Drosophila melanogaster: one gene and its partners. The protein of the gene in region 1 binds, or shares a complex with, the protein of each later gene. Each region holds a gene or a part of one and is shown on either strand. Other genes may lie near its edges. The genes, in order: MED7, MED31, MED26 and MED18.

Region 1 (3,551 bases):
ACCATGTTTATTTAGAAAAACACGTTGGATTTTGTAAAGGGCACAGTGAGTTAAAAAAATTTTAGGGAAAACATTATACTCCAGTTGTGAATGAATATCTCTATTGACTTTTTAATCATGTTTATCAAACAAAATTAGTAATTTTGATGAAACTCCATACAAATTCATTAAAACCACATATGTATATGTACATTATGAAACGCACTGTACGAGCATATTTCGGCTAGCCACGATGATGCCATGCGGTAGCACCCATTAAAAGTAGGAAAACGTGTGAGGTGTTCATGTCTCATGTCATGTCACATGTCTTTACAATTTTTACAATTAAATATATACATTTATATTGTTATTCCTATCCTGAATAAATTGTTCTAGATAGATTATTAATTTATGACATTTGACTATATTATTACTCCACGCTGACTACGTCATTTTAATGGTGAAATTTGTGGGATGCTTAATCATGAGCCTTTATCTCGGATCTTATCTGTGTAAAGCTTATCTCAAAGATGACTTAACACATTAATTCCCATTGAATGAATTACTCATTAGACGTGCAAGATTCTCATCCCACAATTGGGGTTTTATTTCTTATACTAAAAGGAGTTATAAATATGAGGAGCTCTTTTTTCCAAGCCATTCACAATGATTGACACTATTTCCAGCGTCGATGTCCAGTCTTTTGCCAACTCAGCTTACTCGATAGCGTCCACAAGCTTGCACAACATGCGATCGTGCTGGTAACTGGGATCATTCTTGGCCGCCGCATTCGCCTCCAACGGATCCACCTCCGTCTTAATCTTTGCTCCGCCGCTATCGTCGTCATCATCTAGAACCGGCAGAGCTGAGAAGGCGGTATTAACGATCTCGCGCACACGTTCCAAGTGCTTTTGGAAACGGGCGGCGGTCTCAACGCGCTGCCGCTTCTGCATTTCCATCATGACGCGCAGCGTTTCCCTCGCCTGATGTGGGCGAAATTCATTGAGGAGGTGATGCATGTTGACGAACAGCAGACTGATATCGTCAATCTAAGATATCAAATGAGTGTAATACAATAGATGCTACATTTTAATGGGTCAATTGACTCACCTTTTCCGTGCGCCGCGGGCTGTCAGGATTCAGGATAAGAAAGTCAATGAGATCTAGGAAGTTGACCAAGAGGGAGTGGTTAAGCTTCTTGAGCTCCTTGCGCCGATCGAAATGGATGGGGATCAGTCGCTTAATATTCTGGGACTCCAAGCTGCGGATCATCTCGTCGTTGTTGTACTGGATGCCAAACATGCTATAGACTTCGTGCTGCGCCGGCGGCGGCGGTGGGCGTGGCGCTCGGTTGCGGCGGATATTCTCGTCCGTGTAATTGGCGATGTACCGCTCCGGCGGCATCGGCAGGCTGGAAACCTGGGTCTCCTGGTTGGACATTATGAGATTAACAAGTGCGGAAATACAAAAATAATAAATGATTTTTGTTTTGAAGAAGTGATGGCACCTGAGACAGGCGAATCACTCACGATAGTGATGACACTATCACTCAAATTGTTTTCTTAAAAATGAGCACACTAGAGGTTTGAAGCTAGACAATGCAATAATAAGCAGAATTTATTATAATATGTTTTGAGACACTGACAAATAATTTACAATTACAAAAATTAAATTAGATATTAATCGAGCTCGAAATAATAAATGATTCACCGTGCCTAGCTATCGATAACTTAAAGGTGACCATGCTTGCATGCACCCCCTACAGCATTGCCATAGCAATTTTTCTCCGTCTCTTCCCTCATTCGTCGGTAGAGCACAACAAAATAAGAAACACATATATATCTTGATGTGAATAGCTAATTGTTCCAGCACCGATTCGCGCCAATATTCCTGTTCCTGCCAAAGAAATGAAAACAAAACGTAAAACCATAACATAACTGGACCCAACTAAGAGACAAGCCGTGCTGCCTCCACCATTTTGATTTCCCCACTCAGCGTGTGTGCGTGCTTGCAGTGCTTGTGCACGATGCCAGTAAAATGTGCAAAACCGGACATAAAACAAACTTTTCCTAGTGTCATCTAGTGAGCCATGGAGCGGATTTTGCCTGAAGAAGCGGAAGCGGGTAAGCATCCAGAACTTAGGTAACCAACGCAGGACAGCCCCAGGCGTGATCTTCGTTTCCCATTGATTAAGTCAGCGCTATTTCCAGTATACCGCGTGTGTTGGTGCTTCTATGCGAGTGTGTGTGTGTGTGTATGGGGAGGGCCGAAATAAACAATAAAGCGGATCTGCGATTGGGTGTGTGGTTTTTGCTTAAGTAAATCCAATCGGTTTCTATTTAATTCACAGCCTACTTGAGCGAAGCGCGGGAGCAGATATTGGAAATAGCCAAGAATCGGCCGGGAACCCAAGTGGCCAAGTGCATCCGCGCCTACGATGAGCAACAGGACCTGGCCTCGCTAGTCGTCCTCCTCGAAGAGCTCTCCAAAAACACGGACTACTCCACGGACCTACGGATATCACTGGGATATGTGAGTGTTGAAGACCACTATTATCAAGATAAGCAAAACCGCCGAAGAGCAGAAAGATCAAAATAAAAGTGTGACGCAACGTGCGTGGGTTTTACAGTCATGCCTCGATAACTGGTATTTTAACTAAAATTATATAAATGGGTTTTCAAGAAAATCTATTATTTTATTTACAGTGAACACAAAAGCCTGCAGATCCTCAAATACATTGCTTATATTTTCAGTATATTGAAGAGCTACTGCGCCACTGCTTAGGACGAAATGATGTCTCTCGAAGATCGGCCATCGTGGCCGCAGGAAGTGCCCTCCAGTACTGCGGCAAGATCTATGGAGACCGAGTGGAGTACCTGTGCCAGGTGGTGGAGCACCAGATCGAAGCCCTGCTCACATCGGAGTTGCAGAAGGAGACCCCTAGCGGAAGTGCTGCGTAAGTTTAACTCAGAACTGAAGAGTTAAGAAGATGGAGAAAGACAAGGCCACGTGCTCCCCACTTGTCGCCATTGCTGGCTCTTTTCGGTCCAGAATTCCGCTTATCGAGCTTCACTTTACGCCCCCTTCGGCTTTGTTTGCATTAATATCACAGAAGCCGGCTTGCCGTTAATGGACGATAGGGCACGTTCTCGTGCTTCCAAAAACAAATAACAAACAGAGTATATAAAGAAATGAGAAATTAACCAGACAAGTGAAGCTAAAAACGTAGACAGTTCATTCATAAAAATAACAAGTTATTCAGAGATAGATCACATCCTAAATAAATATTTTTACATTATAATTCACTTAAATTCTTTCTTATCAGCCGGCATTAAAGAATTTGGGGAGATTATTTGACCTAAATGTTGAAAGTCTAATTAATTTTAAAGATAGCACCAGTATTTTGATTAAACATAAGATGATTTCATTATAATATTTAAGTTACATAATAATCAGTCCTTTAAAAAAAAGAAATCTTATCCTCTTTTAATCTGCATTTAGCGATATAATAATTGTTTTCCTTTCATATTTACAGACCGGAGAAAAACGAGCGCAGGCCTGAGGAAACGCGC
Region 2 (3,990 bases), 6.1 Mb from region 1:
GCCACTCACAATTTCCATGTGTTTAGGCAGTGCCTTGCTGAATGGCCTCTCGTAATCCGTTTCTAGCCAGCGAACGGTGAGCGGTAATCTATTCCAAGGGCCAACCCCCAGCATATTACTAAGGATCCTAAAGTTGTAGTCAAAGAACGTCTCCCTGGGCAGTTTTCGTTTTAATTCAGGGTACATTTTAAGCCTAGTTGAAAGCGACGGCTGTTGCCAAGCCCATTCAAACTGGAGTGCCACTGTATTATTCGGGAATCCGTGCACGATCATTACCATCAGCCACGGCCCTTTGCGACTGGTTTTCCTCGCGCCACCGAAATCACAACCAAGATTGTGTTGGCGTATCCGCCGTTTGGGGTTCACGGTGAAGCCCACGTAGCATTTTCCCCGGTAGCGAGGATCCAAGCTCTGACTGCATAGCAAATAGACGCCGTAGAAGTGGCCCTTCAGCGCGACGGATTCCTCCTGTTGAGAAGCTGTGTCCTGTGGGTCTGTGAATTCACCAACAGATAGATTAATGAAACTTGCTTTGTGTCTGCAACCAAAAACCAACGACAAAGGAGGCGACACCCTAACTAAAGCAATGAGATGAGGTTTTCAAGATTTTCTAAAATAAAAAAAGAAATAAAATTATTTTAGAATTTTAGTTTGGCTAAAATAGCTAAGAAAATAAGGTGTGTTAAGTGGTAGCTGTTTCTCAGCCAAAAAGGAAGATAATAAATGGAATGCAAAATAACTTGTTCCAGGTTCTTATACTATTTTATTGGTAAACTTTTAGTTGCCAGCGCTAGTTTAACTCTAGTTTTATGTTGGCCCCCGATGCCACGCCATTGATTTGCTGCTGCTGCTGGGGATTTCCAGGCTGTGCTTGGACAGGCTGTAGGGCAGAAGACGTCTGTTGACTATCCGCCGTGGAAGCTGACCCGTTCACGTTGGGGGTAGGTGCTGCTGATTCGCCTCCCGTTGCTGCCTCCATGCCGTTCGCCTGCTGTTGTTGCTGCTGAAGCTGCTGTTGTTGCTGCTGGGCGGCCGTAACGTTTTCGATCAGTTTGATGCGCTTGCGAGTGTAGTGCTGCCACTGCAGAATGGCCTGGTCGTCTATGAACTTGCAGCACTGCGAGTTGACGATCTCCCGGCGGAAGTGTTCGTACTGCAGCAGATCGAGGAAGTAGAGGCACATTGGGTACATGAGGTATTTCGCATAGTCCGGCTCCTTCCAGTACTGCAGATACTTCAGGTAGTTGATGAACGACTGGTCCTTGAAAAATCCACGCTGTGCAAGGACTGGCACAAGGCGTTGTAATTGTTTATTTAGATATACGCGCAAGATGGTGAATAAGTGAATATTAGGTAGGTCGAGGTAATATTATTCTTACAGTTTAGATAGTTGGGGTTCGACAGGCACTGCACGAACTCCAGCTCGATCTGCCAGCGTCGCTTCTGCAGCTCCTCCGACTCGATAGCAGCTACGGAAGAAATTGGAGAGCATTAGTCCCTGAGAAATTAGCACCACTTTTGGTAGATCTCTGAGGATTCGGCATGCCAAGCGGTGTCAGTAGGTGTTAGATTACAATGCGAAAATGGGTGTGGATTGGCGTGTACTTACTCTTACCCTTTCCGTACATTTTGGCCATTTTGGACTGGTCTTTGGCTTTGGAAAGGGTCTCGTTGGGTCGGTACTTGCGTCTATTCAGTTTCGGTGTCGGGTTGGGTTCTTGGTTTCTTTCAGTGTGCTATGTGGATGTTCTGAGCTGTGTGTTTTGGTGCACCATCGAATTGAAAACGAAACGTCGCGGCAAACAAAACACACAAGTAAAATTATAAATATATATGGGCTTCGCTAATGAAATAAAATGTATGGCGCGGCAGTGACTGCACAGAGCAAACGCAGGTTGTGGGCCAAAAGAAAACTCGGGAAAACAGTCGACCAGGTTTCTGGGCGCAGGCGGTGGGTTGTCGCTCCCTTTGTGTTGGTGATTTCTTGTGGGAAGGCAGTTAAATTCAGTTTTTAATATTGTCTACAAACCGTAGGAGTTCATTTGGATTGTTGATGGCCGGCGACAACCCTACTTCTGTCCCCGCCAGGGCTGCAAGCTCATCCGAATACGATTTTTTTTTCGTAAAATACTGCTTTTCCGTATATTTTACTTGGTGTGTGCTAACGGTATTCTTGAAAATGTTTCTGTGTTAAAAATTAGAATTAGGGTTGTTTTAACCAACAAAAATCTTTAATACCAGAGTAAGTTTAAACAAATCTGAGCGTATGTATCAAGAAGTACAGCGATCAATGGTATCTACAAATAATCATAATAAAACAATTAAAATTTATATTAAAATATAAAATTCCGACCAGAACATTGACAATTTTTAATTATAATATGTAATTAACAATTGTGTGTAGCCTTCAGTATTTATTTCACTACCCCTAATGTGATGCGCATTTAATTCGGTATTTTCACAAGCCTACGACGAACGCTGTGGAGAACAATGCCTGATTTTTTTGTCAGCCTGAAAAGCAGCGAGGAAAAACTTGAATTTCGTCTGTAAAACATATCTAATCGGAACCAAGCCACTGAAAAAGTCGTAGTTTAGGCTAAATAAACGAGAAATCAACGAGTGAAACTAATTTCTATCTGTGGACAGAACGCCCCCGCACCTATTTTTGTGCTGAGGAACAAGCGAAGCAGCGACGCACAATTCAGAAATGTAAGTATTAACAAAATTATGTAATTTAAGTGCATATGAAACATTATATATGTATATCCAACTATTTCCCCGATTTCGACGGGTTAATCATCATCCACAAAAAATTCATGTTGGCGAAGAATCTATTATTAGATTACAGTGTGCTCTGCTTGAATACAACTCCGAAATGTATATACATATACAGATGCATACAGATGTACACATATGTACATATGTGCATATGTATCTATACAGCACAGCACAGCTGCCGTCCAAATAGAACCAAAGATTGTTTCTTGATAGGCTTCTGAATCATTTCAATGTAATTACGAATGTAAGTCTCTTTTGTGTCCGCTTAGGCAAGCCACAGTCGCAATTTTAATTGATCGATTGGTTTGCCACACTAATTCGTACATCTAAATTCGAGATAAATAGACCATTACCTAAAACAGTATTATAGAGTGAAAAGTGTACAGTGTGTAACTGGTATAAAAAGTGATTCCGACCCTATAATGTAAATGTTTCTTCGATCCGGACCAATGGCCTGGTCGATCTGACCACGATCTACAACGCCCAAATTGGCATATAACACTGTAGTTCCATACAATTGTCATAATAGTTAAAATAGGATTATTAGAAACGTATCAAATAAATGTCTTCGCTGAGTGCTGGGTATCTCATAGTCGCGACTCTTGACTAAAGTGATCTTTACTCCTAAACATCTTCCTATATACATGTGAAATGAATCAATGTTCTTAAGTGGGAAAATTCATAGGTAATATTAAAATGTTTAGTGTTGTAACTATGACCACGGCTTTATTTACGGGGGTGCATAAGGGGTAAAGCCAACGGTTGGCTTTTCCACATAGGAACAGCTGCAGATTTATTGGTATATTTTAAAGAACTGTCTGAGCTTAGCGTTTATGGGTGTCAGCTGGCACTACCTGTCCGGGGGTCGTCCTGGCGTACCTGACTGCCTACAAAACTCATTACATTTTTGCTTTCCATTACAGTTGCAAACCGGTTTTCGGCGCAGAAACACCCACTCGATCGTCCAAGAGTCAAGCGGAGAACAGTGAAAACATACATTATAAGGATCAATTTATAAAAGCAAAGCCGCAACAATCATGAACACTGGAATCTCCTTAAACGAGCGCTTTACGCAGATGCAGTCAAAGCAGCCGCCACAGGGACGCGGTCGCAGCCGCTCCAGGAGCAGGAGTCGCCGCATTGTGAGCAGCGGAGCCGGAAATCAAGGAATGTCCGCGGTCAACTCTAGGCTGCTGAATGAATTCAAGAGGC
Region 3 (5,071 bases), on another chromosome or scaffold:
AAACTAATAATAATGGTTGGGCAAACGTTTTTTATTGATAATATTTAGTTTTAAGAGATGGTCAAACGCTCTATTCTCTGAATAGACCGAGATTAACTTGAATGTCTTATATTTTCTAAAGTATACGTTTTTTCAAAATTCAAAAGTGTTGGCAAACGATGTTATTGCAATTTAAAATATAAAATTTTTGAAAAAGTACACTTTTTGATTATCGAACTTTTTTGAAAATTCAGATCTCAAAGACTGGACGTGGACAAAAAAAAACTAATTGGTGGGCACACGATTCCAGCTTTCAAATTTCGAAAATTCCATTTTTCCGAACCCAGCTTCTTTGAGCTTCTGCAAGGATAGACACAAAGACAAATACAATTGAATCATACCCGAATCTGTTGTCAGAGCGGCCTGTTGAAACCCGTCGCTGGCTTTTGCACCAAATCTTGTATTTGTTGCGACCTGTCCTTCTCTTTCCTTACTTCTTTTTTCCTTTTTTAATTTGCGTTGCCGTGAGCTTGGTGTAGATGGTATTGGAAGTGGCGCAGGAACAATTGAGTTTAATTTTTTTGGATTTAACGAACCGTTATTGTCATTCTCATCGGAATCCGAAGCTATGTCAATAACAACTGAAGCTTCGTTTATCTTCACGGTGCTGTCATCGGTCAAGTTAATCACGGAATTTACCGAATGATCTATGACGATGGGCTGAGGAGAGGCCACGTGGCAACTTCGGATGGAATGCGAATGTCGCCGATCCTTGTGAGTATGCAATGTCGTTATAGCGATGTTTTCGTGGCGATCGCTATCTTTTATACTATTTACAAGGTTGGAGAAGTTCGGATGAAGTAGGGTATGTTCACCCGAAAGCGGAGGCTCCGCAGAGTCGATATTTGAATGCAAATCTGAAACTATTTGCTGCGAAGGAGCAATTGGTTCTGTAATAAAGCTGGTGATAGGGGACTTAACCAAATCTAATGCTGGTTGTGAAGATGAAATTTGACTGGGATGTGCCAAATTTTCAGTGGCTGTTTGCTGAATTCCTACCATTTCCCGCCACTTTTTCAGCAAGGATTTTGCACGTCGAGCCAAATGTTCATTCTTAGTCCTTCTTCTGAGCTGATTTATGTACTTAGCCAATCTGGTGGCCTCCAACTGCTCCTTGGTGATAGTTGTACCCTCCAATGCACATATGACACAGAGAACTGCGTCCATATTGACGACCTGAAAAGATCTTTACATTAACTGATTTGTTGATAAGGTAATACGTTTTCTTACATCGTAGTTTTGATCAAGTGCCTGGGATAGGTGAGTAGTAAGTTCCTGTATTTCGATTTGGTTCATTTATATCTTGCGGTGCGTAAATATTGCCCTGATCCAGATTCAAGGGACGGCGAAATGCAAATACTGTCCAAGTTAGAAAAATAAGGAAAGTAATAGAAAAGTAAGTAGTAGGTAGAAAGTAAAAAGTTATAGTGTATTCACTTCACGTTGTTGCAAAATAAATACTATTATAAATAGCCGTAAAATTGCTATTAAGTAAAGTTTAAAGACCCAGAAGTTCAAAAATTTTAATACCCGAGTTAGTAGCGTGTCTGTGAAACACTCATACCAATACAAAACGTGTATTGCTCAATCGTTATGCTTACAAATATGCACACTTCGAATGTAAAGTCTGTGCTTCCTGAGCGCACTTCCTTGAATATGAAAATTTGTATTTGTCCAAAATAAGGAAAATTAATAATTTATGGTTGACTTCCCGACTTTATTACAATTCGCCATTTTTACCAATGACAGCTGCACTTCAAGGGTGGCAGAAAATCGATAAGTATTTAACAATTATTATCGATATACTTTCACGTGAATTTCTTTTAACAGGAAGGCCTGATCATACTGCTATCAAACAGAATTGAAGAGGAATTGTATTATATGTGACATGAAAACCTATAGGAGTATTATATAAAGTAAACGTCCATTTTTGGGCTAAATGCGTGAATCTCAAAATGAAAAAAGGGTCAAATATACCAGACCAGAAAATGAAGGTTTTGTTGCTTTGTGGTTTGGATATTTTCCCGTTGTCCTATATATTTTGTAAAATATAAAACGATTTCGTAGATTCTCCGTCCAGTTACCCGCTTTACTTAATATGGAGAATATTAAAATATTGTTTGTTTTTTTACCCTTAACTTATTTTATTCGGACTAGCAATGCCGTTTTTTTTTTGTTAAGGATATATAAAGATTCTTAAACTCTTTCATTTCAATGCGAAATATTTGAAAAAAGTGTGTATATATAGGATTTGTACAAAACAAATGCTCTCGGTGTTCTTCAAAAACAAAAAACAAACAAATGGCTTACAATTACCAAACCCCATAACTTGGGTTAAGGGATCATCTCACAATTGAAAAAAAGTAAACTATAGTACTATCCTTCAGCACCAAAATCGAGTATATATTTTTTTCTTATTGCAAAACCTTTGGAAGCCTTTTGTATATAAGAATATATTTTACATTTAATAAGCAACAGAAAAAGAATATGTTTAATTTTTTATATTCACATTTTACCACAGCGGCTTTTTTTTTAATATGTTCTATAATATTATTCTTATTCTGAACCTCGAGCAGAAGAGATTTTATTGACCTTCCCGTCTAAGAACTGAGCTACCCCATGCTTATACTGTGTTTCCGTGTTTGACAAAAACCAAAACTGACTGTGTCCATATATATAGTGTAATTGGAATATAAACGGTTAGTAGTACTAAATTAGGAAGAATGCTTGTCCGATCCGTTCACACTGGTAACGTTAGAATACCGGAGAAAAACTATTATTACTTAAAATGCTAATTAAGTTTAAAAAACATTTTTGTATTTCAGTACAATAATAAAAAATTTAATCATCTCCGCTAGTGAGCAAAATTCAAATATAACGACAGTGACTCTTCTGCATATAAACTTGAGATTTGCAAAAATATAGATGCATCAACTTCATAAATTCACACTTGGCTGGTTTGTCGCTCTTACCGAAATATCCTGATATATTCCTTTTGCACATACATAAATATACTTATATTATATGTCGTTTTTAATACATACCCCCACATTAATCACACTGCACATGGTCTATTCAAAGCCATATAAATAACAAGATGCGTAACGGCCATACCAAAGACACTAGAATAACAAGATGCGTAACGGCCATACATTGGTTTGGCACTATGCAGCCACTTTTTTGGTGACGGCCAAAATTGCTCTCTTTCCGCTCGCTCACGCTGAGAACATAAGAAATCTAAAAATAGAATTTGCTTGCTTGTGTGAGTAAAAACAAGAGACGGGAACGCGTATATGTGTGGGTGTTGTGCTAGAAGACGATTTTCGGGCCGAAATCAATTCTGATCAAAGAAATGAATTTACATTGTACATATTAGGGTAGTTTTTTGCCAATTTCGTAGCAATATGATGAAATAAAATAATTTTTAAAAATTCGCGCCCTTCTTATTATAATTTTAAAATTTTAATTTTAATTTTAAAATTTTTTAATTTTAAAGCTTTTTAAATTCGTTTGTTAAAATCGCCGCTCGAATTAGCTACCGTTTACATATTTATATTTATGTTGATAATTATTTATGTGTAATATGTGTAATAGTCGGTACCCAGGGAACACTACGGGGAGGCCATTACAATTGTAATGGGGTCTTATATTTACGTATATGACCTTCGAGTCGACTTGAAATATTTTAATGTTTAACATTAAAACATTTCCATATTCCCCAATTAAGTTATTTTTCTAACTATTGTTTTTTATTATATATTGCTCGATTTTTCAGTCGTCAGTTATTTAAATAACGCTCATTTTTTTTATTCATGAGATAGAATGCTGAGCTTAGCTTGCTTTTTTTGTCTATCAGCTATCACAGTCCACTTACAATGCTTAAAAAGCAAAACTTTTATAAGTTTGTTTAAAAGATCTGTTCTATGTGCATAACATTCATTATTTTCATAAAACCATAATGGGAAGGCACTACTTTCATTTGTGCACTTAATGCATTGCTCAACAATAAATTTTTTTATACACATTTGTTTTTTATTATTTTTAAAAATATTTTCGAAAGCTTTAATGTGTATTTTGTAAATATTAAAAAATAAATCAGATGGTGCCCTTAATTTCCCGAAGTCCGATTCTATTGAGTAGTTTTTCTCATGTATAAAAAGCTCTGATGGAGCTGTTAAATGCTCGGTTTCTTTTAAAATTACCGATCTGCATTTATCGCAACTGGATCCCTTAGCAATATATCCAACAAAATATCTACTGGAAGTTAATTCAATGGGTACATCATTGCACAAAAAGTTATCTATATTTTGGTCAAAGTACCTCTCATTGTCTTGCACGATTTTGGAAAATGATACAGAGTATTCTTGTTGCTGTATTTCTTTTTTTTCAACGAAAGGCTGATATATTATCGAATCGAACTCTATTGGCAACATAACATCATCATCTGATTCGCAATTCGACTTTTGTGAAAATTTAAAAATGTGTAGAGATATGAGCTTGGCAATTATTATATTAAATTCGTTAACTGAAGGATTTCTGCAGTTACCACCTTTTGCTCGAACGCACGCAAATATATTTTCAAGGGGATCCTGGTTAACTCTACTAGTTAAAAAGAAAAAGTGGTCTGTGTGATCCTTAAAGAGATCTTCGACGAGTCCAAATATAGCTTCAGTAGTTTGGATCAAGCCATCAACACAATATATTTTATTCCCGTGATATTTAACGCTCTTTAGGTATTCCTGCATTTCCTTTAGTTTGTTCCAAACTCCATTGTTAACTTGGAGCGCGCATTTCATGGGGTTTTTGTCAGTTAATACTCTGCTATTCAGGCAATCAAAGTAATCATTATCTTTTTGGACAAATGCAGCCGTAGAAGCTGCAACTTCGGAACTATTTCGATGTAATTGCTTGTTTTGGTTACAAGTCTTAATTGCCGCTGCAACAGTGTGGCTAAGTGTTTGAGTTGCCAAACATACGCGCATTAGCTCAAATCTGGTTGGATTAACGTGACTCCTTGTTAATTTAGTCATTC
Region 4 (3,366 bases), on another chromosome or scaffold:
CAGCCCATCCGGAGCTGCAGGCCGAGGGCACTTCGTTGGCTTCGTCGCTGATTGGTCCGAGTAAGCTGCGCGATCTGCAGCAGATCTACTTGGAAGCCGTTCGACAGCACCCTTCGGAGGTGGATGCCGAAGTCCAGGATGCCCTCGGCGTGCTCTACAATCTATCTGGGGAGTTCGACAAGGCGGTGGACTGCTACCAGTCCGCTCTGCAGGTGGATCCCCAAAATGCGAAGACATGGAACCGATTGGGGGCCAGTTTGGCCAACGGCTCGCGCTCCGTGGAGGCGGTGGAGGCTTATCAGCAGGCGCTGCAGCTCCAACCGGGCTTCATCCGTGTGCGTTACAACGTGGGCGTATGTTGCATGAACCTTAAGGCCTACAAGGAAGCTGTGGAGCACTTACTCACAGCGCTTACCATGCAGGCTCACACTAACGCCGCCCGAGAGCTGCCCAATGCGGCGATGGCGGCTACCTTTAGAGGACAGAACCAGATGTCCGAGTCTATTTGGAGTACGCTGAAGATGGTCATTTCGCTGATGGGCCGCAGCGATCTCCAGAGTTATGTGAGCGATCGCAATCTGGCGGCTCTTAATGAGGCCTTTAAGGATTAACCGCCCCGCAGCTTCTTTATCACTGCTTTGGGAAAGTCCGTTGTTGTCGTGTCATGTGGGTGTGTAAGGTTGAATTTGAGATATTTTTTACTCTGGCAGTGTAATCATTCCCTCTCGGTTCTTTTCTGTAAATTTGTATATTTTCTTACATTTAAGAAATTAAATAACTGTTGGATAAATGCGATGTGCACTTTTATTGTAAACTACGGCATGCCGCCCAGTCGCTTGTAGTCGATCTTCTCGAGCTGCACGAGTGGCTTTAGTTGCTCGGCAAACACGCGCATTTCCTCGCCGACATTCTCCTGCCCCGTTGGCGCCACCACAGAGAGTTCCACTATGTAGCTTTGTGAGATTGGCTCGTTGGCCATGTCCTGCTGCTTGCCGGGCACAATCTTAATGAGCTTGGAGACGGTAATCTTCATGCGCCCCTTGCGGAACATATAGCCTGAAATAAGTCCATTTGTCACTATCCATTTTGGCAACCCAAGCGTAATATATTTCATGATTCCAACCCTTTGCTATGTACTCGAACTCCAGGCGGAAGCCCATTTCCGTGAGGAATTCCAAAATGCCATTGGTGCAGGCGCAGTCCATGCAGCTGCGTACCAATGTAGGCCGGCGCAGATCCACCTCGGGGTTTCCTAGGTAGCGCATCTGAAAGGGTGCATCGCGACCAAGGGCTCGGCGCACGCGAAGAAGCAGCGGCTGGTTGGCATTGGGCTGGCGAAGGCTCATACACACTTCCAGATCGTGAAACGGCTCCGGCGAGGTGTCCACATTGTCGCAGAGTCCCTTTAGTCTGATAGTGGGTAGGCGGTTAGACTGTTAGTCGGGTGCAAACGATTCAAATCTGACACTGGGTCTCCCACCTGTGCATCAAGTGTTCCACGGCGGAATCCAGGATAGATCCCTGCAGCAAGTACTCCAGGTTGGGCAAGAAGCGGTTGTTCATCGCATGGGAGAGCGACTCACGGGCCGACGACACAATCGCCATTGGCTAATTTTGTAAGTTTGGGTGTACTATGGTATTAAATTAACTGAGCAGTAGTTTGGTTTTGTTTTTAGTTTCATTTCCTTGGAAGAATTCGTTTTACTAGTGATGCCGTTTTAGACATTTTCGAACAGCACTAGCTAGATGCCGGAAAATCAAATAGTCTATCGATAACGATGAACGTAAATCGACGCGCACAGAATAATAGCAAATACGAATTTTGCTTAAAGCATATTCATAGAGATTGATTTACCGTAAATGCCCCAACGACGCCCCCAAAATGGCGGATCATAAGTATAGGCTCTTCAATGCGGTCGACCCGAGCAAAGTAAAAGTTCCCTTCAATCAAAAGTTCGCCAATTTGACGCTATCCTCCCACAAAAAACGACTCCAGGTGTCCCATGCGCCGAAGGATCATCCAGAAAAGAGGAACGACCAGAAAACAAGGAAACTGCCAGCAGCTCCCATGCGCGCCAATGTGGGAGCACCCGCTCCGTCCTGCGGGGCAAATACGGAGGACACAGAACTCGACAATTCCGACTACATGGAAGCCTTGCAGCTGAGCGCCGACGGCTGCAGCCAGGATGTGGCAAATGTGGGCGATGTAGAGCTCCTGTCCGCTGGCATCAGCAATTTGAAAGTGCAGCCCATAAATGAGGAGCACTCGGCCAAGCCGGAGATCTCCATTTGCATTTCCTCCACTACGGAAGAGAACGTATCCGGCGACGACGACGCCGCCTCCTGTATCACCATATCCGATTCTAGCGAGGATGAGCAAGAACCCTTGCCTCCCGATAGCATGGCTGTGAGTGAACGGGAAATTGTGGCTAATCCCGGCCAGGAAGACATACCACAGCCCATGCTCACAACCGAAAAAGTGCAGCGCATCGAGGCTTTTCTGCGCGATGTGTCCATAGAGCGACGCGAGATGGAGTGGAATGGCCCATTGACACCGCCCCCCCTCTCTTCCAGCCAGCGGCAATCCCGTCTAGCCGATGCGGACACCGAATCCATGTCGCCCACCGACGAGGACTGGCAGCCACCCACTACCAGGCCGATTTACAACAGCACACAACTGGCGAACAACGATACGCAGGTGAATACCATCTGCTCAGCAGATGCCACTCGATTGGATAGCAGCAAGCGGTTGGCAGACGACGAAACGGAGGCGAATACTCTCGGATCGGAGGAGCTTGAGCCCACATACAGCAGCAAGCGTTTAGCAGACAATGACACCGAGCCCAACACCCTGTGTTCTGATAGTTCTGAGACCCATAACTCGACGATTCACAACAATGAGCCCGTTCCTGATGAATCCATTGAAATACCGGAAACCAGCAGCGAGGGCGAGCTCACGCCGCAAAAGGCCAGCTCTGGTTCCTCCACATCGGGAGGGGACGAACACGGTTCTATCCAGGTCAGCAGTATTAATATTTCAGCGAAGATCAACATTAAAATCAGCATTCCCACTATGGAGTCAAGTTCGGCGGAAGACGACGATGAGCATTACTCTTCGCCCAGGGCCACTAAGTCCCTGCCCAGCTCGGAGGAGGTGCAGCACCAAGAGCACCAGCAGCAGGACCCTCAGAGCCACCAAAAATCCATGCTGTCTGTGGATGATGCATCCGAGGATGAGCAGTTTCTCACCCACGCAGAAAAGCTGCTCAATCAATTGTACGGCAAGTCTTGGCAGACACCAGATGTGATCCGCACTCTAAAGCGCTCCAGTGGTAGTGGCGGTAAACAGGCTCCTCTGAGGCCCAG

The links.
Region 2: MED7 (region 1) and MED31 share a complex: the UniProt entries of both Drosophila melanogaster proteins name them as parts of the mediator complex.
Region 3: MED7 (region 1) and MED26 share a complex: the UniProt entries of both Drosophila melanogaster proteins name them as parts of the mediator complex.
Region 4: MED7 (region 1) and MED18 share a complex: the UniProt entries of both Drosophila melanogaster proteins name them as parts of the mediator complex.

What each region holds. Positions count from the first base shown.
Region 1 is NT_033777.3:10,759,515-10,763,065, forward strand, and holds MED7 (mediator complex subunit 7), read right to left. Parts: upstream 1,519-3,551; 5' UTR 1,420-1,518; coding exon 1,090-1,419; intron 1,029-1,089; coding exon 696-1,028; 3' UTR 557-695; downstream 1-556. Other genes in the region: Cap-H2 (chromosome associated protein H2), read left to right, coding at 2,069-2,102, 2,330-2,511, 2,733-2,935, 3,515-3,551. UniProt on the Drosophila melanogaster protein: Component of the Mediator complex, a coactivator involved in the regulated transcription of nearly all RNA polymerase II-dependent genes.
Region 2 is NT_033777.3:4,640,048-4,644,037, reverse strand, and holds MED31 (mediator complex subunit 31), read right to left. Parts: upstream 2,076-3,990; 5' UTR 2,043-2,075; coding exon of another isoform or gene 2,030-2,042; exon of another isoform or gene 1,755-2,029; 5' UTR 1,638-1,754; coding exon 1,610-1,637; intron 1,470-1,609; coding exon 1,380-1,469; intron 1,288-1,379; coding exon 791-1,287; 3' UTR 746-790; downstream 1-745. Other genes in the region: nuclease slx1, read right to left, coding at 1-494, 2,030-2,042; CG9775 (uncharacterized protein), read left to right, coding at 3,816-3,990. UniProt on the Drosophila melanogaster protein: Component of the Mediator complex, a coactivator involved in the regulated transcription of nearly all RNA polymerase II-dependent genes.
Region 3 is NC_004353.4:785,812-790,882, forward strand, and holds the start of MED26 (mediator complex subunit 26), read right to left. Parts: upstream 3,168-5,071; 5' UTR 3,084-3,167; intron 1,804-3,083; exon of another isoform or gene 1,641-1,803; intron 1,399-1,640; 5' UTR 1,336-1,398; coding exon 1,270-1,335; intron 1,216-1,269; coding exon 381-1,215; intron 1-380. UniProt on the Drosophila melanogaster protein: Component of the Mediator complex, a coactivator involved in the regulated transcription of nearly all RNA polymerase II-dependent genes.
Region 4 is NC_004354.4:1,864,253-1,867,618, reverse strand, and holds MED18 (mediator complex subunit 18), read right to left. Parts: upstream 1,711-3,366; 5' UTR 1,606-1,710; coding exon 1,481-1,605; intron 1,434-1,480; coding exon of another isoform or gene 1,411-1,433; coding exon 1,124-1,410; intron 1,057-1,123; coding exon 815-1,056; 3' UTR 732-814; downstream 1-731. Other genes in the region: Pex5 (peroxin 5), read left to right, coding at 1-611; Gcna (germ cell nuclear acidic peptidase), read left to right, coding at 1,883-3,366. UniProt on the Drosophila melanogaster protein: Component of the Mediator complex, a coactivator involved in the regulated transcription of nearly all RNA polymerase II-dependent genes.